Linked DNA regions of Oryzias latipes. The protein of the gene in region 1 purifies or fractionates together with the protein of each later gene. This does not show direct contact. Links are inferred from orthologs where the notes say so. Each region holds a gene or a part of one and is shown on either strand. Other genes may lie near its edges. The genes, in order: mta2, parp1, znf512b and dnmt1.

Evidence for each region.
Region 2: the proteins of mta2 (region 1) and parp1 purify together in Homo sapiens (affinity purification with mass spectrometry; 3 studies listed by BioGRID and IntAct, with this or other methods). This does not show direct contact. The link is inferred for Oryzias latipes from reciprocal best matches to the Homo sapiens genes MTA2 and PARP1.
Region 3: the proteins of mta2 (region 1) and znf512b purify together in Homo sapiens (affinity purification with mass spectrometry; 3 studies listed by BioGRID and IntAct, with this or other methods). This does not show direct contact. The link is inferred for Oryzias latipes from reciprocal best matches to the Homo sapiens genes MTA2 and ZNF512B.
Region 4: the proteins of mta2 (region 1) and dnmt1 purify together in Homo sapiens (affinity purification with western blotting; 3 studies listed by BioGRID and IntAct, with this or other methods). This does not show direct contact. The link is inferred for Oryzias latipes from reciprocal best matches to the Homo sapiens genes MTA2 and DNMT1.

The regions. Positions count from the first base shown.
Region 1 is NC_019876.2:29,083,103-29,090,966, reverse strand, and holds part of mta2 (metastasis-associated protein MTA2), read right to left. Parts: intron 4,590-7,864; coding exon 4,522-4,589; intron 3,587-4,521; coding exon 3,493-3,586; intron 3,154-3,492; coding exon 3,036-3,153; intron 2,273-3,035; coding exon 2,209-2,272; intron 2,056-2,208; coding exon 1,938-2,055; intron 1,840-1,937; coding exon 1,737-1,839; intron 420-1,736; coding exon 320-419; intron 132-319; coding exon 1-131. UniProt on the Homo sapiens protein: May function as a transcriptional coregulator. Acts as a component of the histone deacetylase NuRD complex which participates in the remodeling of chromatin.
Region 2 is NC_019882.2:7,702,207-7,710,604, forward strand, and holds the start of parp1 (poly [ADP-ribose] polymerase 1), read left to right. Parts: upstream 1-3,397; 5' UTR 3,398-3,507; coding exon 3,508-3,630; intron 3,631-5,123; coding exon 5,124-5,289; intron 5,290-5,451; coding exon 5,452-5,567; intron 5,568-5,637; coding exon 5,638-5,852; intron 5,853-8,033; coding exon 8,034-8,124; intron 8,125-8,198; coding exon 8,199-8,315; intron 8,316-8,395; coding exon 8,396-8,398. Other genes in the region: adenylate cyclase type 8-like, read left to right, coding at 24-226, 370-585. UniProt on the Homo sapiens protein: Poly-ADP-ribosyltransferase that mediates poly-ADP-ribosylation of proteins and plays a key role in DNA repair.
Region 3 is NC_019865.2:15,570,950-15,578,813, reverse strand, and holds the end of znf512b (zinc finger protein 512B), read right to left. Parts: intron 7,622-7,864; coding exon 7,370-7,621; intron 7,268-7,369; coding exon 6,944-7,267; intron 6,732-6,943; coding exon 6,630-6,731; intron 6,087-6,629; coding exon 6,024-6,086; intron 5,652-6,023; coding exon 5,553-5,651; intron 4,051-5,552; coding exon 3,715-4,050; 3' UTR 504-3,714; downstream 1-503. UniProt on the Homo sapiens protein: Involved in transcriptional regulation by repressing gene expression. Associates with the nucleosome remodeling and histone deacetylase (NuRD) complex, which promotes transcriptional repression by histone deacetylation and nucleosome remodeling.
Region 4 is NC_019866.2:8,445,706-8,453,569, reverse strand, and holds part of dnmt1 (DNA (cytosine-5)-methyltransferase 1), read right to left. Parts: intron 7,776-7,864; coding exon 7,739-7,775; intron 7,423-7,738; coding exon 7,315-7,422; intron 7,225-7,314; coding exon 7,017-7,224; intron 6,933-7,016; coding exon 6,860-6,932; intron 6,767-6,859; coding exon 6,685-6,766; intron 6,612-6,684; coding exon 6,571-6,611; intron 6,495-6,570; coding exon 6,440-6,494; intron 6,325-6,439; coding exon 6,241-6,324; intron 6,159-6,240; coding exon 6,049-6,158; intron 5,928-6,048; coding exon 5,809-5,927; intron 5,721-5,808; coding exon 5,628-5,720; intron 5,554-5,627; coding exon 5,402-5,553; intron 5,297-5,401; coding exon 5,109-5,296; intron 4,811-5,108; coding exon 4,796-4,810; intron 4,071-4,795; coding exon 3,890-4,070; intron 3,808-3,889; coding exon 3,710-3,807; intron 3,464-3,709; coding exon 3,319-3,463; intron 3,246-3,318; coding exon 3,130-3,245; intron 3,052-3,129; coding exon 2,850-3,051; intron 2,766-2,849; coding exon 2,632-2,765; and 19 more. UniProt on the Homo sapiens protein: Methylates CpG residues. Preferentially methylates hemimethylated DNA. Associates with DNA replication sites in S phase maintaining the methylation pattern in the newly synthesized strand, that is essential for epigenetic inheritance.

The DNA.
Region 1 (7,864 bases):
AGCATGGCCTCAGAGGCGCTCCATTCCTCCATCTCATCACGACACAGAACCGGGCCGCCCTGGGGCACCAGCGTGGACATGGCCTTGGCCAGGTCGTAGTTGTTCTTCTGCAGTGTATCCATGGCATGAAACTACGACAGAGAATGTAGAGAATCAGTTTTACAACGTTTTACTGCAAACTAAATGGAGAGAAAGGACCAGAAAACACAAAGAGTTTCTGAATCTCTACACTTCATGAGCAGCGAGTCAAAAGAGGATCTGTGACGATGCGGCTCAAATTTGCAGCGGAGGACGGAGCAGCGGCGTCACATCCACTCACCAGTGTGATGTCTCTGGAAGCTGCAGCCGCGCTCATGTGGAGGCTGGGCTGACGGATTGAACTGCTACAGTCCAGAGCTCGAGCAAAAGTCCCAACAGCCCTGACAGGAGGAGGTCAAAAACACACGGCGGTAAGTTCTGGATACAAAACACAACTAAGAAAAGCAGGGCTTTCTGGATTCATCACACTTTATTCACTGCTTCCTCAACCAAACACGTACATTAAAATTCTTTTGCACGTGGTACTCGGATACTTTGTCAGTTTGAAGCTTCAGGTTTTCTAGTTGTGTTGATGCTTTATCATGAGTTTAAAGCCTACCACAACTTAAAGATCCTTTTTTTACTCAGGTCTGTTTGTGGCCGATGATAAATATATATATTTTTTTACATTTCTGGTAGGCCTCCACAATAAATCCCATATTTATCGTTATTGCAAGATCAAGCTGTGCAATACGCATATCGCAAAAGATGGCGAAAATTGCAATAAATGGTTATCCTAAATGTGCTAAAACCATCTTATGGCAGCTGGAAGGATTTAACGACTCAAATAAATCCATTTATGCATTTGACCAATCAGATGGAGCCTTTTAATGCAGGATGTTCGCCTCCTATGGAGACGAGGGTCAAATGGAAATTGTGTTTTGGTGGTTTTGGTGTTTGTTCATGTATTCCAAGTTATCGCAATATTGTTACTAATATGGTGAGTTTTCCTCATATTGTGCAGCCCTAGTTTATGGCATCATTAATGGCCTGTTTTCCAATAATGGTTTAGAAATTATTCTTTTCTAGCTTCACAAGAGTTGTGTAAGAGAAACACAAACAATGAAAAAGTATCATGAACATGTGCACAGTCATTAAGTACTGATTATAAGTTATGAAGCTTTTTAAGGAGAAATACTGACATAATATGAGGTTCAAAAGTCTTAAGATAAGGAAATGACAAGACTTACTTTGAACCTCTTCATTATAAAAGCTAAATACAACTGTTTGCTTTTAAACTTAGTCATCCTGTTTTTGAATTAGCTAATATGTGGAGGAAACCTCTCCAAATATAAAAAAAGACATTAAGTCAAACTATGCAGAGCATCACAAAACAACACCTAGTTTTTTAATTTAACCAATCTGCTTCAGAATGACAGTCAGCCACCAAAACGTATCTGTTATCATGAATGACATGGTGTACATAATACTCCTGGTCATGGCCTTTCTAATGTCTTGGATGTGTACAGTGGTGACATTTCTGTCTTATCACAGTTGCAAACTCTCAGTTCAGACTCATAGAACGAAACAAATAAAAGATAAACCAAAGAATGCAATTAGCAACAACTAAAATGGTAGCAGTTTCTGTGTTTTCTCTAACAAAGACATAGAAGAGTTTTATAAATACTGGTGTCCCTGTGAGTCAAATGGTTCATTACCTGGCAACTACCAAGAACTGGTCAATCTGTGGGTCTTTGAGCTGGTTGTCGGGGTCCCACACCTTAGTCTCTAGCTTCTCCTGGACTCGGCTATCCGTTTCATCTGAAATGAAGAACAGCCGTATTGAATTCTGAGAGTCGTGTTTACTGAAAATGTGCTGACTAGAGTCAACAGTCGTGAGGTTTTGGTGGCCTGCTAACCTTCAGCTAGCATGTCGGGAATCTCTGCCTGGTATTTGGAGCCTACACGAATTTCCCCCTGGTCTGCCAACAGCGTCTTCTGTACTGGGTCAAACACCAACGAGTAGAAGAAGCAGTCCTGGACACAAGACATCGGCACATCAGCTGAAAGGATTCGGGTTCGTCTCACACATGCAGCCTGTCTATGCTCTCCGTCAAATGGGCCGAGGCTCCATTGATTGGAGACTAAACATATAATGAATGAGATCATGACAATCACACAGGTTCTTACTTCTTTCTCCAAGTAACCAGCCAGGACATCAGTTTCATTGAGAAGCGTCACGTTACATTTTCCTCTAAAGAGACAGTAAATAAATACACAAATATTAGAACTGATAGGAAAACGGAAGAAATAGAAAACGGTTCATTTCCAAGAATAACAACATTTTCCAAGTGGATTCTTTCTGTGCTCCACAGTCAACAAATGAAGAAAGTTAATTCTAGTGAAGATACCGGTAACTGCATTCCAGGCTTGGTCGCACATCCTCTTTAATACTTACGGCTGAATTTACTGACAGATAAAGCAAAAACTTTAAAATGTGCAAATTTTTAAAAAATCTTTGAAAGAAAAACCTGCCACTAAAACCACAAGATCAGTATTAAAAATACAAAATGTTCAAATATGTCCTGAGTTTTGATTGGAAAATCATCAAACAGCGTTTCACTTATTTACAATTAAACTGACTTCATGTCATCTGAATGTTAAAGCAAAATAATGATTATAATATAATTAGTCTAGTTTTTTTTGGATTCTCAAATCAAATGAAAAGATCACAACACAAGTAACTGACAGACTGTTGTTAACGCTACACTAGAAAAATAGTTTACCTCTATAGTAAACCGTTGTCTCTACTCGCTTGACAAATACAATAAACATTAAACACAGCAATGAAATAGAAAAAAAAAACTGAAAATACTAAATATGACTGCATTATACTCCTTTATAGCAACGTAAATTATAGCCATTTATCTACACACAAAACTCTGCACAAGTGTGCACACACACACACACACACACACACACACACTTCATCAAGAGTTCTGGTATCAAGCATGCACCGTATGTGAGTGGCAGGTAGGGATTCAAACTGTCGGGACAGGAAGAGTTCCCTGTGTTTGAGCTGGTGCTTCTGCTGTTCCGCCAGGCTGGGCTGGTTGGACTCTTCCTCAAACTCTCCTGTAAAAACAAACACATCTGCCTTAGACAGCTCTGTACGGCTCGCTGCATGCATGCCTGGTGTTTCCGGCTGGTGCTGGAGGTGGAGAAGCATCTGGTGTCCTGTTGGTAGGACACTTGGCCCACCGTAGCTACTGATGAGATGGAAACGTAGATTGTTCTAAAGCCCTAAAGTTGCTATAAGTATACTAAAATATCAAACAGCAACGATCCACATCGGCTTCAGGAACACATGTAAAGTTGTGTCTGATATTAGTGCGACTTTCCCCAACACCGTTTTAAACCTGGAACATTTTCAAAGGGCATGCAGCTTGTTTTGCTGGAACCATCGGTACTCACTTGCATTACTGTCAGCCAGAGTATTGAGGTTGCCTGAGATGTCTCGTCTTCTGAACAGACACACCACTTTTGCTTCAACGTTCCCATTGGCCGTCTGTATGTAAGGAATAAAACAATTTAGGTCTGATCCATCATGAAGTACCAGATCCTTGGTGCAAAAAACAAAACAAACATAGGAACTTATCCAGTTATCATATGATCTTGTACCCAAGAACACAAATGTTGAGTTTTCTTTGTGTTTGATACTTTTCACACAAGCACAAGTCCAAAGACTCACACTTGGGCTCACTTTAAACCTTATGGGAGCATTCTCTCTGCGTTCTGATTCTGACATCACACATATAAACACAATCAGAATGTTTATACTGTTTTTACACTAAAGTTTTTACACCTAATGTTAAATCCAACCAGATAAAATGCAAGATGTCCTATCGCACACATGCATGCATGTGTGTAGGCCAGTTTTTATACAACACATTTCCACCACACCCCCTTAAGCCAAACTCTTTCGTAACTATTGTGACTTTTGTCAAAATGTGTAAGAACAGCAAAGTGGAAAGCAAAAAACAAAACACAGAATGAATGATGGATCGTTTGGAAGAGCAAGAAAGAGAAAACATCCATGTCACACACCAACAGAAAAAGATGGTGGTCGCCTCATATCACACCTCTTCAGCAACGTTCAATGACTAGAAACCTGACATGATTTCAGCAGAACTATTCCTGAGCTCTCTTGAAAAGAAACAAATACTAAACCTGGAATAAAAAAAGACGGTTTTCAGAAGACACTCAGACGCTTCATATAATGATATAATACATTTTATAGGTCTGCCGCCTTTCTTGTTCGAACCCGTACAAAAAACCATAGTGACAAATTTGAAGTAGCAAGCTGATATTGCACCAAACACGTAGGTTTAGACCTGATCATGTTGGCACTTGGCAGTATCATGAAGAAGCTTTCAAACACAACGATAATGTTTAAAAGAACAGAGAATCACGTTTAGAATGCGGTTTGAGAAGCGTACTAACCTTATTGAGTTCTTCTATTCTCCGAATCAGATAAGGGTTACTGGAGGAGTTCTCAAAGTACACATAGTCTGAAACAGGAAACAAAACTTATAACAAACTTGCACCAAAGTTTTTAAAAACAGTACAGTAAATAGCACAAATATATATATATATATAGGCAGAAAATCAAAACGAACATTTACATTGTAATATTTAGAGAAGGAAACCTGTGGAAGCAGGAATGAGTTAACGTTGAAAAAAAATGTAATGAGTAAAACTACTATTAAAACTGAGTAAAATGAGTAGAGTTCATGCCTTTTACATTTAATTAACTGAAAATATTTACATTGATGGTAAATTCAAATTGAGGTAGTAGTAAAGGCCCAAAGCGCTTTACAGTCACAGACCCATTCACCCATTCACACACAACATTCACACACTGGTGTCCAGAACACAGGCGCCCGCCTACCACCAGAGGCAAGGGGGGGTTCAGCGTCTTGCCCAAGGACACATCGACTCATGGGCGTGCAAGGCGGGAATCGACCCCCCTACCGCTGCACCACGGCTGCCGTATTGTACCGTATTGCTCATTAATTGTACTATATGCTGCAAAAATAGTTTCATCCCACCACATCTACATCTATGTTATGCCAGAAACCAAGCAAATGTGTGCTTAGATTTGCTATCCAGAGTAGAATTAACATAAACAGAAAATGTGGTTTTATGACCAACTGGTGTCTATATATTTGATCCTTGAGAACCAATCACTTTATTTTTAGAGCCCCTTTCATCAACACGAGTAGAACCTATGGTTCTTGAAATAAAAGGTATATGTAAACATAAAAAGTCATAAAGCACCATAAACAAAAAACAACAAAAGAAAGATGAATATTAAATGGTAGAAAAACAGTGATTAATAAATCTGATATGAAGTTTTGCTTTGTATTTCATTGTAGATGAAAAATCCTATAAAATACATCTTTATGTAGGTTTTACTAATCAAAAGCATAGATACACTAAAGGATCTGTGAAGTAGGTGTTTTTGGCCAATTTTACAAGTTTGAATATAAACGTGAGTTTTTGTTTTTAACAACAGCAACATTTTAAACATGAACCTCAGCTGCTGTCAGCGTAGCTGTACATACAGCCCATGTTCCAAATCTGATGAAGCAAAACAACGACGTCCAAACATAAAAACTGTCAGAAAGAAGTCGTTACCCTTCAAAGCGTACTTTGGTCCAACTCAGTTTGTAAAAACAAAAAAACAAAAGCATTAAAAAATGAGGAGGAAGAATGAGTAAAAAAGAAACGTTGAGAACAGTTAACCACAGAAGACGTGTTTTTGTTGCATCCGAGTCAGCGATTAGCGTTACGGCCTAATCCAGTTTGGGCTTTGTTCTAACTAGCTGGCATACGGGTACATTATTAATGAGCTGGGGGTAAGTGTGACAGAAAGAGCTTTCCTTACACAAATATATTGTCTTTTAATCATATGCAGGCCTTATATACATTTAATGTTGTGTGAGATTGGACTTTTATACATGGGAACCAATGAGAAACTGCTTCCTTTTGGACTCCAATAGCTTTTTGAGGAACTACAAGATTTGGTACTTCGTAGTTTGAGGCAAATTTGGAAACAGACGGCAAATTTAGAAGTTGTGTAGGACTCAAAGGAGTTTAATTTCTCTCAATTCTTTAGCTACAATATCATCTAGTTATTTTAGAATAGAGAAAGGATCAATGTATTGCTTTTTATGAACTCCCGTGCTCTTGTAGCTTCTGATTGGTTTGAAATTCCCAATGCAGATAACCAAAGACAAAGATGTCTGCTAAACAAGGCCGGGGTCTCTAGTCCAGATAACAAAGCAGTTTCACTCCAAACAAAAGGTTCTTTATTTGTTTTATTTGCTGACTAAAGTGGGACACTGCAGAGACACAACTGGATGTGCATATTTTGTTTCCAATTGTTGAAATAAACAGTTTTTATTCCACTTCATCTCAAAATTAAAGTCAGGATTAGAACAGGGGCAACTCTCTGGTAATATTATTGCATTTGAACAAACTGGCTGCCTACTTAAATATACAGAATCCCTTTAGTTCTCATAAGAAGCATATCCAGATGTTTTATTATTACAGTGCTGTATTTCAGATTAAATTAATAAGCTATTATCATTTTTCACGTGTTTCTAAAGTTTATTTAAAATAAAGAAATTGTGATTGTATTTTGGCCAACATTGGCTTATGAACGTAATTTCATAACAATTGTAAAGTTGGCATCTGTTTTTTTTAAAGGTTTATGTTTCCCTTAACTTAACTAAGGGAAAAGATAAGGGAATTGTCCTACATTCAATCTATTGTAAAAAGAAGGTTTGAAACTTTTTGTAGATGTTTTACCAAAGATTCAATAAAACTTTTTTTTGTGAAAATTCATTAAAGGTTAATTTTACTGTTTCTTTCCTTCCATAAAAATGCACATTTTCCATCTGGATTCTCTGTGTCTTAAGGTATTAGGAATCAAAATGTATTACCCTGTATCCTTGAACCAGAAGTCAATAGGTGCCCCAATAATCCAGTTCTTTGAATGGGGGGGGGGGGGGGGTTACAATCTGTTGTTGATAAGTCTCAGTATGTTCATTGGATGTTGTGTCTGCCTGTGTTATGCTGATTGGTGGATTTCCTCTATGACACACCTGCGTCCTACAACACTGAGACAACACAATCCAGGCACAGATTATCCTCCAGAGCTGCCTGGTGGAGCAGTGGTTAGCGCCCTCGACTCACACAGAGAGATCCCCGTTTTAACTCCCGGCTGTGTCCTCCATGCATGTTCTCCTCATGCATGGGTGGGCTTTCTCCGGGGTCTCCGGCTTCCTCCCACTGTCCAAAAACATGCTTCATGTGTTAATTGGTTTCCAAATTGCCCCTAGGTGTGTGTGAGAGATTGCATGGCGACCTGTTTAGGGTGGACCCCGCATTCGCACAACACTAGCTGGGTTGGCTCCAGCAACCCCGTGACCCCAAAAGGGATATAGCAGTTTGAGAATATGGATGGATTCTCATTGAGGGCAAAATTTTTTTTATTAAAGACCCACTCAAAAATTGTGTTTTTAACATGCACTTGTGACATTTTTCTAAAGATGGACGACATTTCTGAGTCTCTTTATTCAAATTGTTGTGAATCAGGAGCAGACAAATAAAATGCTGTTTGGAAAAAGCTTGTAGTAACAAAAGCTTCCTGCTCCGCCCCATTCTGACGCATTCACGCCATGTCCGTGAAAACGACAGGTTTTTGATTTTGGCAGAAAAAAAGGCACAATAATAATTAAAAGAGCACTTGAAACGCTCTGAAAACAGAATAAACTTT
Region 2 (8,398 bases), on another chromosome or scaffold:
ATTTCATGATGGACTCTTTTAAGGAATTGCTCATGGGCCAGTAGTTGCGGGGGTGATCGGAGCCACCAAACCGCAGTATGACATCTGGGGGATGACAGTGAACCTGGCGAGTCGTATGGACACCACAGGAGTGAGTGGACGAATCCAGGTGCCTGAAGCCACCCGAAAAGTCCTGTCAGAGTGGGGCTTTGCCCTGGAGCTACGAGGAGAAATATTTATCAAGGGGGTGAGTGGGGGCTGAGCCTAGTCCATATAGTCTGTGGTAACTTTGCAGATAACGTAAGGAAAGCTTTATTAAAAGGAAAATGTTTAATTTTTATTCATTTTAAATTGAAGGAGTAACCTAAAAAGATTTTTTGTTTAATGCAGGTAAGTGAGTGCCAGGGAAAAGTGCGTACATACTTCATCAGCACCACGCGCAGTAAGCAGGGCAATGCTGGGAAGTACAGCAGGCTTGGGGGGCGCCCATCAGGACGCCTGACACTAGCCGAGGTCGTATTTGGGCTGGTCCAAGCCCGACAAAAGGAGAAAATAAGAGAAACCAACAGTAACTTTGGTCTGATTTCCTGCAAACTGAAGTGTTGAGAGGCACGCAGAGGAGAGGACTCATCCAGGCAGGGCTGTTCCTGCATGTTTACAGGGTGGATCAAATCCTCCAAGGATCTTGCAGAGTTTATTCCAGGTTTTGTCCATCAACCCAACGAGTTAGGAGAAGAACATGTTGGAAAAGTCTATTTCTAAACTTACCAAGAGGAGATTGGAAATGGAACGTTTCCTAGAATGGGCCTTTCTCTTCCACTGACTTCTTGTGAAGTACAGCAAATATTAGGGGGATCTCTGCTTTTTCTAGCTTTCTTGTTGCCATTTTTACAGTAAAACAAAAGCCAACATGTCTTTTTTCATATCTTGTATTGCAAGGTATATCAAACATTTGAGCCAAAAACTAGAATACCTCTAAAAAACAGCTAAATCACACTCTATAGTTCAGGGTTCTGCAACCTTTAGCGCTCAAAGAGCCATTTGTTACAGTTTCTAACAGCCATAAACCCAGCAAGAGCTGCAAAGTCACACTCTACTGTTTAGAAAAATGTTCTAAATTTATATTTTTGCGGTCATTAAGTCATTTGTTTATTTATTCATAAAATGTAGCTTTGAAACATTTACAATTATTGAATTATAACAGTGTTATATTACCATTGCACAGACAAGTTCCTTTCAAAATAAAATGTATCCTGTGTCAAATAAGACCCTGCTGCAGCGATTATACTTTAATACATTTGTCTCTGAAAGACAACTAGGCTTAAGAAAAGAATGTGAGTTTGAACTTATTCTAAAAAGAAACCACTCTGACATAAATCAGATCTTTTACTATTTAATTGCTTGTATTTGACATGTTTGCATTATGGAGTGAACGTGTCAAGGGCTCTTGATTTAGTATAACGTAGTGGTTAAAACGTACATTTTTCTCATCTAAGTTCACCTCAGTTTAAAAATCTAAAAATAAATGACCAACAACCCTATTATTTCTTCAAAATGTTAGCATTTTTCTTCAAAGCAAAAGAACCACAATGAAGGGATAAAAGAGCAGCATGTGGCTCTGGAGCCACAGGTTGCAGACCCCTGTTCTATTTCATCACACATGAGTTGGTTTTTGTCTGTATCTTCCATACGAACTCTATAAATGCAACCGTGTTGGTGTTTTAGACATCATGTGCTGTTCATTTTACATGTATACCATGCTTTTATACATTTTTTACAGAAATGTTTAATTGTATGATTGCCGTCCATCAAATAAACACATTTTCTGTCTGTTTTTGATACTTAAAATAATTTAAAAAACGATTTAATACTTATTGCATTCTACTTTTATCACACTAGTCATACAATTTAAGTTTTATTGGTTAAACGTACCCATTACATGGAATGGAAACCTATAATTTTGAAAGTGAAGGATTTACTTTCTTTTCAGACTGCAAGGATCGACTTCTCTTCATTCGATTGTTTTAGACTGAAGCGAGCGCGGGTACTCTGTGAGGTATCCAAATATCGTCTATTGTGAAAAATGGATCGCTTGACATTTTTTTATGAAACATTTCAAGTTTGAATACTTTTTGTTGAACATATTTTAGAGGAGTGTTGTTTATGCGGTTGAGTGGCTCCTGAGGAATGACCAAGAGGACAAATAAATATACATAAATAATAATATTTCGTTTTTGTTTTTTTAAATAAATTTATAAATAAATATATTTCAGTTGATCAAATCTTAAGTTCTTTCTTTAATTCTTCCAATCGACAAAACTGAACAAAAAAATTACCATTGTTCTAAAAAACATCTAAGGATAATAATACGAAAACAATAGCCTAGCTCTTCTTATTAAGGTCAGACTTAAAAACATAAACATACAGAAGAAGTTGCATTATGAAGAAAAACTTGTAACAAAAAGTAGAAGTATACATGCACACAAAAAATGTAATATTTGATTTATTTCCACGATTGACAGTTTATTCCAACAGTTATAGGATAATAATTATGTTGTCCATCTGATTTTTTTCAATGAAAAAAGTGATTTACATACCAAGAGATCTTCACAAAATCATATTTCTTCTTGTACGTCTTACTTTTTTGTCTAATTTACTTTAAACTATTTACTTTCTGAAAATTAGATATATAGATATGGATGGATGGATGGATGGATGGATGGATGGATGGATGGATAGATAGATAGATAGATAGATAGATAGATAGATAGATAGATAGATAGATAGATAGATAGATAGATAGATAGATAGATAGATAGATAGATAGATAGATAGATAGATAGATAGATAGATAGATAGATAGATAGATAGATAGATAGATAGATAGATAGATAGATAGATAGATAGATAGATAGATAGATAGATAGATAGATAGATAGATAGATAGATAGATAGGTAGATAGATAGGTAGATAGATAAAAGAAAACGAAAGAAAAGGTAGAATGGTAGTAAGTAAATGAAAGCAGAAAGAAAAGAAGCTTCCTGCAGAAAAGCCAATTGTCATTTTCTTTTAATGATGTCCAAGGAATATCAGAAGCCGGCTGTTTTCTAAATTTCTAAATAAGAGCTTGTGAGTATGGATAACTTAAACAATAAATATGATTTTCATAACAACAACAAAAAACATAAACTTCCATTCTACAGGCTCTGCATGCAAAGATGTTTTGAAAGATATGCTGAAGGAATGGAAGTATGTAACCCCGTTTCTTAGGTTCGGTTAGCTGTGATTTCTGTAGCTATCTGGATAAATATGCCCGCATCTATCAGATATTTGTGGACATGCGCCCAGGTTCAGCGTCCATTGGCAACTAACGCTTGTATCGGAGGTTTGACAAAAAAGAGTCAGAGTAAGCCCTCTTTACTGGATCTTGCTCGCTGCTCTTCGCGTTGTCCCTGTTGTTGCTCCTCGTGCTCTGGTGGAGAAACTTTGTCGTCTTCGGTTCAGCTTTTTAAGGATAAAGGGAAGCTATGGCCGACTCCCAGAATGACAAGCTGTTCCGAGCAGAGTACGCCAAAAGCGGCCAGGCTTCGTGCAAGAAATGCAAGGAGAAAATCGCGAAGGACTCGCTGAGGATGGCCATCGTGGTGCAGGTAAGCAGCGGCGGTCCAAGGAAACACCCGGGAGCGGAATTATTCCTACAGACTCACTTGTTTACCAAGCAGCTTCAGCAGATGTAAAAAAAAAATAAAAGTGTGTTTTTGAAAATGTGATATATAGGCCTGAGTAGTTCCGGTTTCGTCTGGACTGGTTTGGGCCCTCGTTAGCATTTATGGCTGCTAAATCTTCCGCACAAAGAGCCGCAGAGATGCTCCAAATAAATGCACTTTCCGGCATTCAAGCAGAAATGTGAGGAAAAATCACTGCTGCCTCTCAGTCTGACTCAGTCTTGGTGATTCTATCGCTTGTCTTTCGGGGGAACGTGTACCGCTCACTACTTTCTTTACTTCATTCGCTTTTTCCTTTTATTTATTCATTTAGTATTTTGTCTACCACAGGCTTCCGTTTCAGCAGATGGATTTGAAATACTAAACTTTGCATAATTAATTATTATTCTACAAGCAATTAATGCAAGTAGAATTTATATTTTTGGAAAAATACGTTGACATTCAAGTAAATTAATATGCAGGTAAAAAAATTATTATCTATAATCCAGTAAATTGTATAAAACTAATTTCTAATGCAAATTTAAAAATTAGGATGAAAAATGTAAATATCAATCACAGGTATTTATAAAAAAAAAATAGATCATATCTAGACTGATTGCTTTTATTGTCAAAAATTTTATATCAAAAGCACAGAGTAAAAATTGGCACCAACTAAACTTTAAAAAAAAAAAAATATATATATATATATATATATATATATATATTTAAATCATTTGTATTCAGATTTATATTTGTAAATTTCCCATCCTTCAGACTGATCAATTGATGGTTATTGATATTATTAAATAAACAGTTAAAATGTTTAATTTAAGGCGAGCAATTTAAATCTAAACGTAAGGAATAAAATGTAAAAATAATAATTAAACACATATATAAACAAAACTTTTATTACAGTTTGTATTTGTTTGTGGAATTAGAAAGATGTTCAAGTTTTTATTTGAAGGTATTTTTTATGATTTAAATAAAAACAAAATTGCGCTTTTGTTTTGGCGAGTCACTACAGCTAAAATGTTAAAGATAATTTGAAAAGCCTCTTATTTTTCTTAAACTGTACAGAAAAATTGAGAAAAGTCATTTTTAAAAGGAGCAGGACATGGCGACAATAGTACAATTATTTTTTTCAAAGGGTTAGTTTTTTCCTCCCATTTCACCTTCAAAAAATATTACGGTATTGCTAAATTATTTTACATCCTTTACTCGTCTCATAAAAATGTTTTTTGTCTGTTCTTTGTTCAACTTTTCAACTATCTTGTTCAATTCACCACCAAACTACACTGGAGCTTTCAGATGATCTGATATGAGCAGCAAACCCATCATTTTTTTCCAGAATCATCCAAACCCGGCAGATACAGACAGACTGAAAACTATAACTCTGCAGCTGAATGTGTTCACGCCTATGTTTACTCTGTGTCCCGCAGTCCCCCATGTTCGACGGGAAGGTCCCTCACTGGCATCACTTCTCCTGCTTCTGGCAGCGAGCCTCGGTGCAGTCCACGGCCGATGTCGGCGGGTTTTCGGATCTCCGCTGGGCGGACCAGGAAGCTGTCAAAAAAGCCATAGAAAGTGGTGGAGTGGCCGGAACAGGTCTGTGCTTGTCTGAGCTGTTTGTGCACACGGGAAATGAATTGACGTTTATCAGCGTGGTGAATGTTAGTCATCGGAAAGTCGCTTTTGTTTACTTTTTGTAGGTTGTTGAAAATTCTGACTTAAAGCACAGCGGGGTAAATTGAGGTCTCCATCTTGCAGGAAAGGGAAACTCTGGTGGTGCGGCTAAAGGAGAAAAGACGCTGAACGACTTTGCGGTGGAGTACGCCAAATCAAACCGCAGCACGTGCAAAGGATGTCAGCAGAAAATAGAAAAGGTTTGCTGCAGCTTCGTTTAAACAGTTCATTAACGGAAAGCACGCCTGTGACCTCTGACCTCTCCTCCAGGATCAGATTCGTGTGTCTAAGAAAGTGGTGGATGCAGAGAAGCCTCAGCTGGGCCTGATCGACCGCTGGTACCACACTGCATGTTTTGTGAGCCGCAGAGAGGAGCTGGCTTTCAAACCTGATTACAGCGCTGCTCAGCTGAAGGGATTCAATGTGCTGCGGGCAGAAGACAAGGAGGAGCTGAAGAAGAGGCTTCCTGCTGTAAAAACTGAGGGGTGAGGAGTAACAAAAACTATATATATATATATATATATATATATATATATATATATATATATATATATATATATATATATATATATATATATATATATATATATAAAAGTTTGACTAAGAGCTTTGACTCAGCTCTCACAGACTTGGTTTGGTCTAGAAGTTCTCTCATCTCCTCTGTTGTTTCCACTTAAAATCTCTGCCTCTCCCATCGACCTGCAGCACAGAAAAATGGCCTTAAAGGCGTCCCTGAAAGCCGTCATGGTGTATGCATACAGGAAGGGGTTCACAGCAGAGTTGGCGTGGGACAGGATGATGGTGGTGAGCAGCAGCTCCAGCGGAACGGGGCACTTTGGGCAAAGCAGGAGGAAGCAGTTGATCACATGGAGCGGAATCCAGCAGATTGTGAAGAGAAAAAGAACGAGGAAGAGCGACGTGGCCATCTTCATCTCCTTGCGCATGGTGGCTGCCGTCCTGCCCTGTCGCTCCCATCCTTCACCTTTCTCAGTCGCGATGCGCCTCATCTGCTGCTTCACCGTGAGGAAGATCTGGGCGTAGATGAGGAACATGATGAGCAGAGGTGCGAGCACGCAAGCGAAGAAGTTGAAGTAGACCATGTAGGTCATGTCCACCACCAGGACGAAGAAGCAGTAGCTGGAATCTGGCGGTCTCTTGTGCCAGCCCATCAGGGGGACCAAGCCGATGAGGGAGGCCAGCAGCCACGTGCCGAGGATCACCATCAGGGCGTTCCGAGGCGTCATCAGGACGCCGTAACGCAGCGGCATGAAGATGGCGACATAACGCTCCACAGCCACTGCCAGCAGGCTGAAGATGGAGCTCTGGGTGAACATTATCAGCACGCTGAGCATTAGCAGACACAGGTAGAAGTTGTAGCGCGGTAGACCGACGTCGGTCAGGATGGCACAGGGAATGGCAATGGTTCCCACACAGATGTCTGCTACCGCCAGCGAGACCAAGAAGTAGTTGGTGACGGTGCGAAGCTTACGGTTGAGACCCACAGCAGCACAGACCAGGAGGTTCCCCAAGGTGGAGCACAAGGCGATCACGAGCTCGGCCACCATGTATGGCACATTTGGGTGCATCACCGGGTCAGCTGGTGGCGCAGAAGGGGAGGAGGTGGTGGCGGAGAGCCGGTTGGTGAAGTTGCGGGGATACTGAAAAAAGAACTGAAGCCAGGAGTTGCTGGTTTGTTGGAAAACAATAAGTGGCACAGTTTCATTCTCCATAGCTCTCCTGCAAAAGAGCAAATTTCAGATGTAAAATTCATGTTAACATCCAAACGTCTCACCAATCTGCTCCACAGACCTATCAAGGATTCATCATCAACCCCCCCCACCCAGAAAACCAGACACCCCTCTGTCCTTTACTTCATGTCAGCCGTTGTCTTGATGCTTTGTCCTCCAGATGGTCATTTATGGTATGGAGGTGTCACAGGAGCTGCTCTGGCCCCCGGCCCCTGGGAGCGTTCAGACGTGTACCAGCTTGCTTGTTTGTGTCCGTTTGCTGCAGAGACCCTCACGAGTCTACTCCATGAAGAAAGGTGTCACACGCAGGCTTGTTTGTTCCTCATCATGGCCGTCACCTTCATCCCTGTGCGCCTTATTTGGGTTCCTAATGGGATGTTTTCTCATCATCTTGTTTGGCTTGGTCGAAAAACGAATGGACTGGTTTAGGGCAGCAACCTGGGAGGTAACTTCTTATTTAGGCAAAACACCTGACTCATTCACACAGACGAGACTCTTAACTTCCTGATGAAGCTGAAGTAGGTTCACGTCCCACAGAATCTACTGGTCAGGTTCTACCAGACCCCAGCTGGTACCCTTTTTTCGTCAAAAATGATTCTGCAACAGAAAAACTGGATCTTCTCTTCTTATCAACCTTGGTTCTATTACTTCAGGAGTTTAAAGATTCCACTCAATGATTCAACCCCCTGAAGAAGTGGAAAGCCAAAAAAAAAAACAGGATGAAGTTGGGTTCTGGCTCCAAACTGGGAGCCAGAACCCAGAACAGTTTTCCACCGTTCTGTAAATGGAGGTCCAGGACACTGTCAGACTACAAAATAGTTTCACCTGCAGGGGAGAAATGCCTCACTCTTTATGCTTTCTATTTCTTTTTTCTTAGTATTTTTTGTTCTGTAACTATGATAATAATTACATTTGCAGAAAACGTCCAGGCGACGAGTTGGACGGAGTTTCAAAGAAGCTGAAGCAAGAAGAGGAGGAAGAGAATAAACAGTTGGTGGAGAATTTAAAGGTGCTTTTTTTATGTTCAAGATTAATTTTGTTTGTTTTCTTGTTAATAGATTGATTGTGTTGTTGTGGTTGCAGAATCAAAGTCAGCTAATTTGGGGGATTAAGGACAAACTCAGGAAATACTGTTCAACCAACGACATGAAGGAGCTGCTGATTGCAAACGGTCAGGAAGTTCCTTCTGGGGAGTCCAACGTAAGAAAAAGTCACAAATGAAGAATCCTATGCTGCTTAAGCCAAAGTCTCTGGTGACTCACTGCCGGTTTTGAACTCAGGTG
Region 3 (7,864 bases), on another chromosome or scaffold:
AATTGCAATCTCAGCAGTAGAATCTTTTTGAAGTCTGACCCCCACACAGTTGTGTGTTCTTTTATTGCAGGCACTTTTGATATATTTCTCAAATGTTCTCATTTGATGTTGTTTATTTAAGTTCAGTATGCTTAAGTTCTACTTTACTATACATTTAAACTAATGCCATCCTTTCACACAAGATAACACTAGATCTTTTTTTATTTGTGTTTAAGTAATGATGAAACAAGTCATCAAATTGGAAATATTTCTTTGTGTCTCTAATCATTTCCTTTACTATACACTTACCATTAAGTTCATTTAGCACATATGTATCTTTGGCTTGTTATACTTCATGCAACGATTTGAAGTATGTTTACTGAAACAGACATTTTTGGTAAATTGACATGATTTACAGCTAATGTTCACACACTAAAAAACCTGCATTCAATACAGGATACCAAAAAAATCATGTTTTTTTTTAAATAAATAAATAATGTAAAAACAAATAATAAAGAGCCTCATTTAGTCAACAAACTTTTATTAATTAGTTGAGGAATAATAATGCACAGATAATACAACAAGTTTGGGAAAAATTTGTAACAGTTCAGACGCATAGGAGGATGTGATTCCTCAATGTTAGATACTGTACAGCTTGATATCAGATTTGGAATATCTTTATTACATAATTAGTCTCATTGTATCTTCTATGTATCATAAATAGTTTAGAGCTGCAATAACATCTCGTAAAACTCTCAAAGGTTTCACCACAATAGCTGGATGTCATCTCCTGCTTTTCAAGTAGGTAGCATACAAAACAAACCACTGTTATTTAAATAAAAGGTTAAAATTCTTAGGTTGTCTAAGGGGGTTGCTAAGGATTAAACCTTGGTTTTGGAAATAACATTGCTGACATTGGGAAGACATTTGAGCTTCCTGTTTCCCCAGGTACAAAAGTCACACCACACACAGTCCAGGTAACTAGAAAGCTCCAACGACACTCCTATTTCAAGCCTATTTCATGTTATAATAAGTGCACTAAATACAGAAACAAACACACATACATATGCCTTGTTGTCCAATATTCAATAGATATTGAGAAAAGAATCTGTGACCACCATCCTGAAATGAAAAAAAGCTCAATTTATGTGCATCACCAAAAATGGATCAAATAACAGTGTATGCCAACACATGGGCTTGCAAGGTTCTTTGAAATCTACAAACTTTTTCCCCCCAATATTTCTGTAGAATTTTAACTTGTAAAAAGCATTTTTCAAAGCAATAAAAGTTAAAGTAGGAGAGTAATAAAAAAAAGCCATACAGGTCTGAGAAGACACATCAATATCAAAATTGTAGCAAGCCAACAAAAACAGCTAAATATGGTGTATTGCTGTACTCTCTAAACATGTTGCAGTTAGTTCACACTGCGGAATAGGTATGCGTTCTCCACTTAATAGGAAGACAGATAGTAAAGGGAGTGATAAAATATAAAATACTCACTGTTAAAGCAGTGCTAAACTATCATATTGCAACACCAAAGCTTTTTAGGTAAACCAGGTTAATGTGACGCCATCGATGAGACAAGAAATAAGCAGCTAATGAAGTGATTCTGTGCTACAGCTTAACACTTAACAAGTGTCACCATTTTAACATTCACCCATTACAAAGGTGCTAACTGTCTGAGATACACACACATACTCACAAACGCACAGAAGGTTCCAACGACTCATTTTGAACAGGTCCACAGACCAATCAGTGCTCGTCTGAATGATGCTTCCTCAGCTGAAACTCCACAGAAGATAAAGGTCCATCCCTAAACAAGTGCACAGCCATTCCCGACTGGATGAACTCCATCCTCATATTAGGAAGAAAAAAAAATCATACTGGATCTCTGGTTTATGTTTTAAAAGTTTACAGCTTAGGAAGGACTCAAAATTACTTTTAAAACAAAATGTTTCTTCACTGTCTTCTGACTATCAGCTCCTTGTGGTTTTAGGAACACCTAAACAGTTCAGTTCTTCACTGTTTTCATGATGACATGACGTTTTGGTGCAAAATTCAGACAACTTGCAAACACGAAGAACATGGCAAAATGGATTGGTGGATGTGCGTGAGTTGTTTCAGGTCTTTAAGGTAGAAAGGCTAGTAAAGCACCTTTATATTTTCACCAGAATATCCCCACACCACAGTTTTTTTTATTTAAAGAGTCCAGATTTAAGTCTTATACTTAGTATTTTTGAATTGATACAAACAATAATATATTAAATTCTTATGGAATTTCTATTATAATTTCAACTACAAAATGAAGTAGTTTACCATTACCAAGTGAAAATATTCCACGTCATAAAATGTATTTAACTTTTTTCAATTTTTTTAAAGCAAATCTGAGGCTAATCTAACAGTTAGTGGCAGCACACTAACAACCAGTTATGGCTTTCTGATGTTGTAAATGTTACTGTCATCCTGGACTCAAAGTGTTAACTGTGCTGATTTTTTTTCCCCTAACTCCAGCTTTCATTGGAGTTAAAAAATATTCCCATTCCTGCACTTCAGTTGTATATTCTTGGAGTGCAAAAAGGCAAGCATGAAAGCTCGAGTGTTAAAGTGCAAGGCAATAACTTTGAGCTTCCAGGAACTCATGCATATGCATTACTTTCTGTGAATTTTAATCAGAAGTTTTTTTTCTTTTTCTTTAATAAAGATGTATTTTTCTCAAATGCTCTATAAAAGATATATATATATTTTAAAATCCTCTCTTCAGCTTAGATGTAAGCTAAAGCAGTTGCCAAAGCTTGGCCCTATTTAAAGTGGTGTCACATGATGTGATTGTGCTGCAATAGTCTTAGATAAGTTTCACACAAAGTTCTTCCCTTTGTCTAATATTTACCTTTCCTGGGCCAAATATAGACGGAGATTCTGTTTAAAATATTGCATTAAGCATAACTTAAAAAATGTATATATTTAAGAGTTTTGAATCGTTTTTTGGGGGGGATTCAGTTTGTTAGTTTCAATAAAAAAGATCTGAGGAAACAATCTGTAAGGCAGACAATCTTATTCGTCCTGTCAAAGTAGTTTTAAAGAGTGAACCGTGATTTAAAACTGGCCAACATGTTAACCCAAATAGATAAGCAGGTTAAAAGAAGAAACAAGGAACAAAATGTCACTTACGCCCATAAAAAACTTTAGACTGCAAACTGAATCTGCTCAACTTGAAAATGAAAAATGAATATTTGCTTTAAATATACACAAAGATATATTTACTGTTTATGTACACAGACAAGTCTATCTGTGACAACACTAGCTTTCGATAAATGGCTTCTTCATGCTGATAAAATTTCTATTTTTAAAAACCTCTCAAGCACAACATGTATCTCACAGAGAAAACTTGTGTCTTCTTTAATATAGAGAACTATGATTGTTAAAAATAACAAAACAAAAAACTAGCATGTTTAAGTTCTGGATTTGATTTGCGATTACCCCCCCTGCTGGGAAAACAAAAATAAAAACTGAAAGCCTTAGAAAGGAGACAATAGTGGAATGGAGGAAAAAACCTTTGTGAATATTGTTCATACCAGTGCAAACACGAAATCCGGAGTCTTGAATTAGAATTTAAGGACTAACATTTGTTTCTTTCTTATTGGTGGGTTTGAGTTTCTTCTTAAGCCCAGAGTTTCTGTGGAGTTCGAGAGGTTTCCCGTCATTTGCAATGTTTGAAGCTCCTCGCTGGCTCCAGAACTACTCAAAAAAGGGCCTTTTAGGTTTGCTTCGTCTGGGGGCTGAGGGGACAGGCTGTCTGTTGTGGCATGGGTAGTCACCGTCCGTACAGTTGGGAACCAAGGCGGAGGACTGTGCTGGTCCAGAGGGAGGGGCCACAGTTAGGACAGTATTCTGAGTAAGTGCTTCGATATCTGTTTGTGGAGGAGCGTCCACACTGGGGCGCTCTTTAGGTTTGCGCCCTCTCTTCTTACCAGTGGTGGCACCGTTCCTCACTTCAGCTCTGATCCCATTATTTTCCTCCACTTTGCTCTTGTTACCAGACACCACATGGTTGGCTGCAGTACGAAACCAGTTCTTAGAGGGAAGAGAAAGAATTCAATGCACGATGAGATCATTAAAATATTATAAAAACGTGTTTGAACACTCTTAAAAGGAAGACATTAATCAGAATAATATATTGAAAATGATGATGATGTAAATCCTACAGAAAAAAGTCACTCTAAAGATAATACATTTAAACCAGAAGCTTGTGTGTTGCATTATAAGTTAGCATTTCAAAGAAAAACTTTGTATAAAGGAAAAATTGTAGAATATGCGTTATCAATTATATTTGATCATTTTTTTTCAAAAAACTTGATTTTCATTCTTTATGTTTGGGTTTTCACAAGATAACTAGTTTAGGAAATGATGAACTAGTAAAGTTTACACCTTTTTCACAGCACTGTTTAGTAAAAAGCCAGCTGACAGCAGTGGCTTCCTCACACTTTTAGGTCAGAGCGTTCAGCCAATAGTGACATTTTTTCCAATTTGATTCTAGAAGAGCTACAGAACACTTCAGTACTTCTATTAGTATCTCACTCTGTGCTATATTATTAATAAATTTACTATTTGTACTGCTTTATCAACATTGTTAATGATACAAAAACCCCAGAATAACGACTTACTATAACAAATTGCTCAGAAATGAAATTACCCGTAGTAAAAACATTCATTCATTCATTTATTTATTTATAAAGCACCTTCCACCGCCAGCCAAGGAGACCCAAAGTGCTGTACACATGGAGAACAAAGCATAAAAGAATTAACAGCAAATTAAACAAGCAAATTAAAAACATAGTAGAGACATAAATAGAAAAGAATATAAAGCATAAAACCAATTTAAAAGAGATTAAAACTAGGACTAGGCTGATGCTAAAGCGCTAAAATGGAGGAACAATTGCCTTGGAGAGTTTGGAACTATGGAATCATTCCATAGTTTAGGAGGCAACCCAGCAAATGCTCGGTTCCCCCAAAACTTGCATTTGGTTCTGGGAACCATTAACACAAACTGGTCGGTGGAACATAAGGACTTTAGGGGGGAATATTTTAAAAGCAGACTGGAGAGGTAAGATGGTGCCGTACCTGCCAGGGACTTAAAAGTAAGGAGCAACATTTTAACAAAAAGCAAGTATTGCAATGGCAGCGTTGTGGTGTTATGTGGTCTAACTTCTTTGACCCACAAATAAATAAATACATGAATGAATAAATGAAGAACATATGTTTTGTGCTTTTTTTTTATTCAATTACATAATCTGTTACTTCTTTTTTAAATAAACACTATAAAGTTAGACACAAACACAACTGAGTATGCTTTTTCCGATAGATGACATTAAGATGATCTCACTTAAGCTGTGTTTAAAGCATGTCCAACCAAACCCTTTCAATCACTTTCAATAAAAACAAAAGCAACCATTTCAATGCAGACGTGTTCACTCAGCAAAGGATGATGGAAAAATAGTTTGTGTAATGGAAGACATCGGTGCCTGTTTTATGGCTATGAGGTTTCCACTAATGGGGGGGGGGGGGGGGGGACCCACCTGTGAGTGTGTTTTACTTATGTGGTACTTGACACCACTCTCTGAGCTAAACTCCTTCTGACAGATCAGACAGGTGTACTTGCCCATCTCACCGGCACCCTGGAAAACACCAAAAGTATGGAGGTGTTCTGACATCTGCTCATATTCCTCTCAAATTCAATAAGGAAAATACACATGACTGAAAGATAGCTAAAAAAACATTTTTTAAAGAATTTTTCCTTTTTTATGTTTTTATCTATTAAAACTTGCAAAATAGAGATACATTAAAAATAGAGTTGCTATTTGTAGAGGCTTAAATATAATTGCTAAAATGACAGCAGCATACAAAATCCAAACCTAGAAAAAAACTTCAGGCTTAAAAATATACATGTCAGTGGCAAACTGTTTGTGCGCAGATTGTGAATGATACAAAGTGTCACCATGGAAATCTGTAAGCTGGCTGATAGATTTGCTGTAGTTGTGGGCGTGTACCTGGCTGCAGTTGGCAAGGTGAGCCTTCAACCCGGACACACTGGAATAAACTGCTTCACAGTTCTGAGACAGGTGACATAAACAAGAGGAAATCAACTCAAGTCTGCATTTCTATAGGAGCCCTAGCGTTTACGAACATGTAGTGCTTGTTAAAATGTACAGTGTGGGCATGTGTATAAATATTGTGCATATTCTACTCAAAAACTATAAACTGTAAGTAGCAACCTAATGGGGATAGAATGATAACTGGACAGGGGTGGGATTATATAAGGTTTCTTCTGCCCACCCCCTTTCAAGCTGAAACGGAGAGAAAGTTTTTAATACTTAAAGTATACTCAATTTTCTTAGTCAGTATGATTGTAATGAAAATGCTGTTTTGAAGTTCATATAATCTGCATATCTTTATTTAGTCTTTTTTTGTTTGGAAATGAATGTATTTTTTATTCTGTTGTTTCTGCTTCAAATAAATCCATATCTGAATCTTGATCCAAATATTATTCTAAATCTAAATCTAAATCTAAATCTAAATCCAAATCTAAATCTTACTTCAAATCTTAATCTAAATCTAAATCTAAACCTAAATCTAAATCATGAAGATGCTCTCACGGCATTTGAGCAGCAGATGAAGCCTTTTTCCTTGACTTGGTTCTTCCAGGACTCTAGAAGTTCTGGGCTGAAGCTGGGCAGACCGGGTCGAGTGTAGTTTAGCTGTAAAAAGAAGAAGATTCTGTTAGCACCACATGACTACAAGGTTTTTCTAAAGATGCTTTTTTTTAGAGACAATGTTCACATTTATATAATTTCCCTGTTGTTGGATCAAGAAAGTTGTATTCTATTCTATTCTGAACTGTTTATTGGGTATGTCTTTTTGCCTTCAGTCGTTACATTTAGGAATTGTGAACCACCAACTCCATGCTTACCCTCTTGCTGTCAGGCACCAGGTCATCCTTAATGCGGCGCTTTGTGCCCCAGTCTTTCGCCAGCTCGTCCTCTGCTATCTCCTGCAGGTGGAACACTGCTACCTGTGCTGACCGCCGCCTTACTCTTCCACTAGGAGTCCTTTCAAAGTCTTCTTCCTGGATCAGAGTTTGTGCTGCTTTTTCTTTGCTCTGCTCCTTCTCCTTTACCTTTACTTGCTCCTTCTCCTTGGGCTGGAGAAGTGGGGTTTTTTCCTGCCTGTCCTTCCTCTCCGCCTCGCTTGGTTCCCTTTTTCTTACTGCTGCTGGAAAATCCTCTGACAACACCTGAAGAGACAACAAGAAATATCAGAATGGCACGACACTTCAATGAGTAGTCAACTGTAATAGAATTTAGGAAACACTGGTTCCTTGCTGAGATGATCTCACCCTGTCCTTGCCGTTACTGTTGTTGGTGTCAGTCAGGCTGTCCTTCCTGTCATTGGTGGCTGTGGCTGTCACCGTTGTGATGCTCGGCGAGTGTTCCGTGCGTACGTGGTAGTCCCTGCCTGCCTTGGAGCGGTAATTCTTTCCACAGTGCTGACAGAGAAAAGCAAGCTGCTCTTCATCAGAAAACTCTCTTCCACAACGCTGTTGGTGATACTGATAGCCCATTAGACTTGAAAAGTGGGCCGAACACCCCTAAGAATGATGCAGAATGAAAACAATTTTAAGCAGCAATGCAGAGAAACAGCAACAGGAGTTCTGCCGTTTAAAAGATGGGAAGAGTGGGCAAACATCCCTTTAGAGTTGATTTTTTTTAGCTCCTTCTCTCCTTTGGTCTCTCCGGTGTGAGTAATGCGAATAGAGCGATGCAGTTTAAGGAAAACGGAGCAGCCAAATTAAAGATGGCAGGTAAAATATGTGATGCCAATGGAAAAATTT
Region 4 (7,864 bases), on another chromosome or scaffold:
TGCATCATTTAGGTATTTTTGAAGAGCATCAGGTAAACTTACCTTGCAGATATGATCCCTGAGAATGGGCTGATACTGCGTGCCTCTGATCTGTCTCTGAAACCAAGACTGAGGCTCCCCGTTGTAGGAAATCTCCAGGGCAGATGCACCATTGCGAATCTCGGGGAGGTCGGACATGCTGTCTCTGACTGTGATGGTTCTGTAGATGCCCCCGTTACCTCTGATGTTAAAAACAAAAATAATCCCAGAAGTGTTAGACATATTTTTCTTTCATCTGAAGTCAGTGAAGCAGACAGCTTCACTGTTTTATTTTATAGGGTTTTCTTTACCGGGTAACATTACTGACGTATCTCTTTTCATCCACCACCACGCTCAGAGAGCAGGCTCTGGGCGCAAACACGTGCAGCGGTTCAGGGTAGCGAGGCAGCTTCTCTCCTGGAGCAGCAGCCAGGATGATAGCTCTGCGGCGTGTTTGGGCAACGCCATACTGACCCGCCTGAGGAGCAGAACAAACGTCACCTCAGGGACTCGTGCTTAGGTGCAGTATAAGAGCTTCACACATGCAGAAGACCCGTAGGAACAGTCTAGGCCGCAGTCTGAAGGTCAGTCTCACCTGAAGAACACCAAAGGTACACTGGTAGCCCATCCGCACAAGGCAGCGCAGAGTCAGCTTCAGAACCATGGAGTTCTTGAAGGAAACAAAGTTCCTCACATTCTCCAGCAAGAAGAACTTGGGTCTGTAGTAATCACAGTAACTAGGGGGGGGGGGGGGGGGGGGGGGCAAATAAAATCATTTTAACAGTCAGTTCAACTGTAAAACAGCAACAACATCCTGACAAGAAATACCTCAGATAGGAAACCACAAGCGAGTTCTTGAACTTGGAGTAAGTGCGAGAGTTGAAGCGATTCATTCCACTGAAGCCTTGACATGGAGGCCCCCCACAAAGCATCTCCACGTCTCCCTTCTGCGGCAGCTTCTGACCCAGAGAATTGGTCTTCTCCCCGGACATGACCAGCTTCAGCAGGACGTTGCAGTCCTCTGTGAAGACTGTGGTGCCGGGGTTGTTGAGCCTGAAGGCCTGAGCTGCCGGCTCCCACATCTCGATGGCCCACAGTGACTCCGAGATGCCTGAAAGCAGCAGATTGAGTCTGAGCAATGCACTGCAAAATAAACAACTGTGTGTTTTATTCCACACATGAAGTCCTCCATTTTCCAAAAGATTCACTGCTTACTTAAATACAAAGCTAATTTTTTGCATAATTGATCAGAAAACGAAAAAAAAAGACATTCCAGACCCCCAAACATTCTGACATGGATTTATTACCGGCTTGATGGAAACCCTCGGACAGGCCCCCACAGCCAGAGAAAACATCAAGGGTGCGATATTTTGGAACTTTAGGCATCTGTGGGCCAACGTTGGAGTCCTGCTGTTCCTGTGAAGCCTTCCCTTTGCCTTTTCCTGATGGGATAGAGACCAGGTTTCAGTGATCTCAGAGGTGATTCATTTCTACATGTCAGAGTTCAAACCAACCTTTTCCTTTGCCCTTTCCTTTTCCTTTATGAACTGCAGACCGGGCGTGATTTGGAGGATCCTCAAAGCTTTTAGACCTTGCATTGTAGGCCTGTGAGGGAAACAAACATTAAACATTGGTTCCATTTTCACCTGCGTACACAATCATACAACCAGTCACCTATAAAGAAGCTGAACAGCAAGTTCTTGAATTATGGTACAAAAAGTAATCCTAACGGTACCTCCAGAAAATAGAAGCGGTCTGGTCCACCGCTGGAATAGTCTTGGACCGATTCAATCAGGTCTTCTGCATATTCTATTTGACAGCGGCCCAGAACTTCAGACATGCGGACAGTCACTTCTTCATCACTCCAGTAGAGCTGGTTAATGTCAGCATGGTAACTCGCTTTAACACCTTTGTGAGTGTTTTCTGGTCTGGGGGGTGAGGAAAAACAAAAAAAACAGTAGTTTATTTCTTTAATACATATATCTATATAAAAAAAATTTCAGTAACAGATTTTCAATTCCTTTTCCTACCTGTAGAACTTGTAAAGTGTCAGTTTGACGTCTGCAGTGTCAGATTTTCCGTTGCTACGGCGATGACAGAAGATCTCCTTGATGCGGCCGACACGGAAAGGCTCCGGAGCATCCAGGTTTGACCCTTTGATGTAGTCTGAGGACTTCCGGTAGTACTCGGGATACAGATCTTCATCCACGTCCTCCTTCCTGTGGGAGCGCTTCACTGGGCTAGCAGGCTTCATACTAAACGCAGAAAATATAAGGTGGAAAACAATAATCCAATTTAATTTTGTGCCCTGTACATAAGAAAACCATTTGAAATACACAACACTCACTTGAAACTGAAGGAGTCAGGAGGCAGGTAAACTCCATCTCCAATTTTAAACTGCTCGCCTTTGAAGCAAGCCAGCGCATACAGAACCTTTGTGTCGCCGCTTTCATTCTCTAGAGGTTCGAGTGCTTGAGGCACTTCCTGCTCTGCTCTCTCTTTAATGCGAGCACAGCTGCCACAGAACCTGAAGGTAAAAGAAAAGAAGAGGAAGAGTCAAGTTTAGCCATCGCATCAAAGAAAGAACATCACAAACATCAGAACATCAGTCACCTGTACTTGCAGTCCTCTGGTTCTGAAGTCTTGGGAGGAGTCTCAAATCGGGCAAACTCTGTGTCATACCAAAACTGGTAGAAAAAACTCTTCCCATCATCCTCAACCACCTTGAGGTCAACATCCATTCCACCCTAAAACGTTAAACGTCACATGTGAACGTTTCTGAAAATGACAGCATGAATCTGGAAACTTTTGATCAGCTTTGATCCACTGACCTCCATGAACCAGTTGTTGGAGGGAGCTTTGTACATAACGTTCACTTTTTCATGGACATAACTGAGCAGCATGTCCTCGCATTCATCCACGACGACGAGCTCCAGTGGATCAGAGGATTCTCCGAGCGCTGTGTGAATCCCTCGAAGGAACCAGTGAGCATGGAAGGTCTTCCCGTGGGAACCCTCCCACATTGAAGTGATCCTGAGAGACAATACACGAACGGAGGTTACTCCTCTGTAAAACAAAACATCACCAAAGTACACCTTTTCTTTCTTGTACCTGGCCAGATACAGAGGAACGGATGGATCATCAGATAAAACCGAAACGCAGTCTCCCACTTCCAAAACCTCATCATTGACGGACACTTTCTTGTAGTAGTGTTTCTTCCCCTCCGACTAAAGCCAAACAGATCATTGTCAGTTACATTTGTGGCTTAAGTAAATCAATCAAAAAAACTAAAAGACATACCAGTATAGGCTCTCCGATCCATGCAAGCTTGCACTGAGTTTGTTTCTTCTTCTTGGTGTTGGCGTCCTTCTTTGCCTTTTCTACCAAAACATCTTCCTCAACAATCTCATCATCTTCAGCCTCTTTTACAGCAAGATTAGGGCATCTAAACAGCATGAAAAGAAGGCCATCAGAGAGTTTAATAGATCGGATTTCTCTGTCGCAACCACAACAAAAGTATGAAGAGTTGAAGCAGAAGAGACACGAGGATTTCTGTAAAAAAAAATATTTATCCTGCAGCAATGATTGTAGCGGCATATACGGCAAAGTTAAACTGAACCAGAACTTTTTTCCCATCAAAACGTTTGTGATGACTTGGACTTCCCACAAAGAGATCCTCAGACATCCTCACCTTCTCTGTTTACAGGCTTGCTTGCTTCGACCGCTTCCTCCAAACTTGATCATATCTTTGCAGGCGGTACATTTGCCGCAATCAGGAGACTGGCAAACCTAAAAAGATTCCAGTTTGTTAGATTTGGAGTTGTAACTTCACAAAAAACAAACAAACCAAAGAACACAATAACCAACTCACTTCACAAACGCCACAACGCTGCCTTTTGAGCGCACTCTCTTTATCGTTCTGCTCTATCTGGTCAGAGAAGAAGGCATCGAAGATCTGGTAGACCAGTTTAGTGGTTGTTGCCTTCGTCGGTCCTTTGCTGTCCTTCTCGATCTTCGTCGGGTGACGGATGGCTTGTCTTCTGGCAGCTCTCCTATCAACAAAACAGAGTCAGCGTTTAGAGGAGAGGCGGGTTTTGGAGCAGCACAAACACAGGATCGTATGGTGAGGGATGGAACTAAGAAGCTCCTGGCCGTAAACACACCACAGCATCAGGCCATGCAGCAGTACAAGCAAACAAAACTTAACCTTTGACCTTTGGAGAACTATGGAAAAAAACTTTAAAGATGAAATATTAACACTTAAACAGGATTTTTTTTCTTTGAAACTCTTTACCTCGGAAAATTTGTCAGAGAAATAAATCTAGTGATAATTCACGGCTTTTAAAATTTTGAAAGTATAAAACGTGAAATAATTTTATTTTGGAAAGACTTTTTTTTAAAAATTACTCTATTACCTTGAAAATAAAGCCAACTCTAGGCCTATTAATTTACCTCAAAACACAAATAAACATAAAAGATAAAAAAAGAAAGGAAGTTCTTAAGAAACATTTTCTTCAAGTTTCATGATAGTTTCATTTTTTTTTACATTTCTGACCTTTGACTTAAAATAATTTTGTTTCATCCCAAACTATTCCAACAAAACTTTACAAAAGCAAATCACACTGAAAGACCACAATATAAATCAAAATAACTGAAAATGAAAATAGTTTAAAAACCATGTATGTGTCTCAGTGTGAACTCTGTTCACTTTCTAAATGTTTGACAGAAAAACACCACATAGCAGAATAAAGATGCAATCACAGCAAGAACCACCTACCAGTACAGCAGCGTGCTGCATTAGGAAGTGTTAAAAACATGTTAGACATCAGGGAGACAAAGACTGACGTGCAGAAAATTAAAAAATAAAATTTAAAAAGGGTTCAATCTAAATACAATTAAGTGTTTTTAAGGATACATGGTCATAATCCCAAACTGTTCTACTTTATTATACAATAGTCGGGCAATTAAGTATCCCACCAAAAGGAGAGACCCTTTTTTCTTTTTAACTTTGAGGTGATGTCACTTAATTATGAACTTAAAAATTCTTAAATATAAATTTATTTACAAGCGTCTGAATGTATTAACTGTACCTTTTCCCCAGAGTGACTCCTGCGAGTTTGATGAGGTCTCTCATGCAGGGAGTGACGATGATGGGCTGCTCATCCGAGTCGCCAGCCTCGTCGTAGCTCTCCACCTGTTCCACCACAAACTGGGCGTGGCGCAGCAGAGTGTCTTCAGTGAAACAGTTGAAGTTTAGTCCTGCAGGAGGAACTGTTGTCTGAAAGTAGAAAAAGAAGATAGTCTGTCAAGATTCACATTTGATAAGGGGGGGGGGGGGGGGGGGGGGGTGTTAAAAAGAAAAACTTTAACTGAAAAACACCACCTCAATTTTGTTGAGGAGGTCTTCATAAGTAACATCTGGGTTTTTCTGGAGGAATTCTACCACTATCTTGCTCATATAGATCTTTTCCTGCATCAGTGCGAAAATGGGGGCATACTCCTCGCTGGGCTGCATCAAGATGTAATCCGCAAACGCTGCACAGAGAGAGTTGACATTAGTCTGAGAAACACTGGAAATTAAACTTTAGACGTGAAAACAACTGCGTTACCTGTTGTGAAACCAATTAGAGCCTTTTCTCCTCCATCAAACCCAGTGATCCACCAGGCGTTGATCGGCCCAAGCTTCTTTGCAGGAACTCCACCTGATTTTGCATCAAAAGAAGATGGATAAAGCAACAATAGAAACAAAATAAAATCTTTTATCAGTGCTTGAACTGAAGCATTTCTTACCATCCAAGCAAGGATTGTCATCGTAGATGGGTTTAACGGCACAGCTGAAGTAAAGCTCCACGTTCTTCTCAATCAGTCCGGAGTCAAACGGACACAGATGACCGCGTTTATCATACACGCTGAAAGGTAAAATATGCCATTATTCATGAAAAAATTAACAATAAAGCTAAGAAAAGGAGAATGTGGTGCAAACATTGTAAATATCTCTGGCGTCATTGTAACACTTAAACAACTGCAAACCTGAAATTTGTGATTCTGTGCTGTGGCAGATCATCGTAGCTCTCAAACCCATCCTCGTTTGAGTCAAAGAGGGAGAGACGCTCATCTGTTAACATCTCAGGTTCATCAAGCTGAAAAAGGGAAAGAAACCCATAAGGCAAAATAAAAATGTGTGTGCACCCACTATATATTAAATGGGTAGGAAATTCTCACAGCATTATCAGGATCTCCTTGAAAGAACTTCAGATCTGAGTCATCCAAAAACTGTCGGCAATCTTGACATTTGGGAGGTGGGGTCTAGAAAGACAACAAAAAAATGTATAAAAAAAAATGTATAAATAGTTTGTGTGTTTGGAATCACAGATGTTGGAAAAACAAAAGACATAAAAGAGCAGTTCTATCGATTAAATACCTTTGCAGCAGATACTGGCTTGGTTGTGTCATTCTTACAATCTTCTGCAGCAGAACTACAGCAGGAGAAGCGTAAATCAGTTTATCCGACATCAAAAAGTCAACACAAAAAGATCAGGAAAAATGAGTTACTTTTCATCAGATTCCACTTTGAGGCGCTTCTTCTCTTGAGACTACAATGCAAAACAATAAAACACTCAATTATATTAGACAATGAAGGCCACAAAGATGCCTCTTAATATGCACCTCTTCGACATCCTCCTCTTTCTTCACTTCATCTTTTCCATTGACACTTTCTTCACTCATTTCCTCAGACTTGCGCTTTTGACTGCAAAACAAATGTAATATTTATACATTACCACTTTTTTTGAATAAATGGAGCTTCCAATTATGCATATATACATATAAAACTTATACGCACACTTTGGAGAACATTGACAAGATAGTTGGCTGTTTCCCACTATTCCTGGTGACTCTTGCACTTGCTGGAGACTCTAGAAGTGGATGATTTTATATTTTAACACACTGATTTTTTAAAACCCATGACTGCATAATTAAAAAAAAAAAAAAAGGCCTACTTTTTGAATCACCATTGGACTTGCTCCTGCGTCCAGCCTTCCCTTTGGAAGGAGGCGGTGATTTGACATCATCTGTGCCCATGGCTTCTTCATCCTGCTCATCTTCATGAGAGCCGTTTGAGAAGCCATTTGTTTTTCCAACTTCCAAGTCATTCTCCAGATGAAGTTCCTTTCCCAATAAGGCCTTTACTTTTGATATGTATACCTCCTAAAAATGAAAAACAAACAAGAAATCAGCAAGCAGCCAACCAACAGAGGTAATTATTAAATTATGTTGCCATAATGGGATGTATCAAACCTTCGAGATCTCAGAACTTTTCATTTCTTTTTCAAGACTGGTCAACTGGGTTTGAGTATCATCATGCAGAAAGTCCTGCACCAACTTTAGCTTCTCTTTGACTTGATCCTAAAAAATATATATATTTTGTTTGTTTTCCAGATAAAAATATAAATCTTAAAACACACACAAACTACCATGACAGTTAAAAAAATATTTTTTTTAATAGGTAGCTACATCTTACATTCAAAAGAAGAAAGTATGCAGTAGCAAGATAACAGGGCAGCTTTTTTTTTTAAAGAAAAAAAAGCCATATTTGTATCCATGGTCTCATAATAAAATATGTTGGAAGCCTGGGCTCTAAATGAAACCATCTTTGCATGCATATTCAAAGTTGTCAAAGCAGAACACCCACATTGGGATTAACTACACTAAGAGCTTTTACCTCCTCTGAAGATCCGTCCTCCTCCAGCATCTGCAGTCTGTAAACAAATGGCATGTATTTGAACCGGAAATTGCAAGTTACAGGGCGCCAATCTTACAGAGCTACACATATTGTCTGTGATACCAA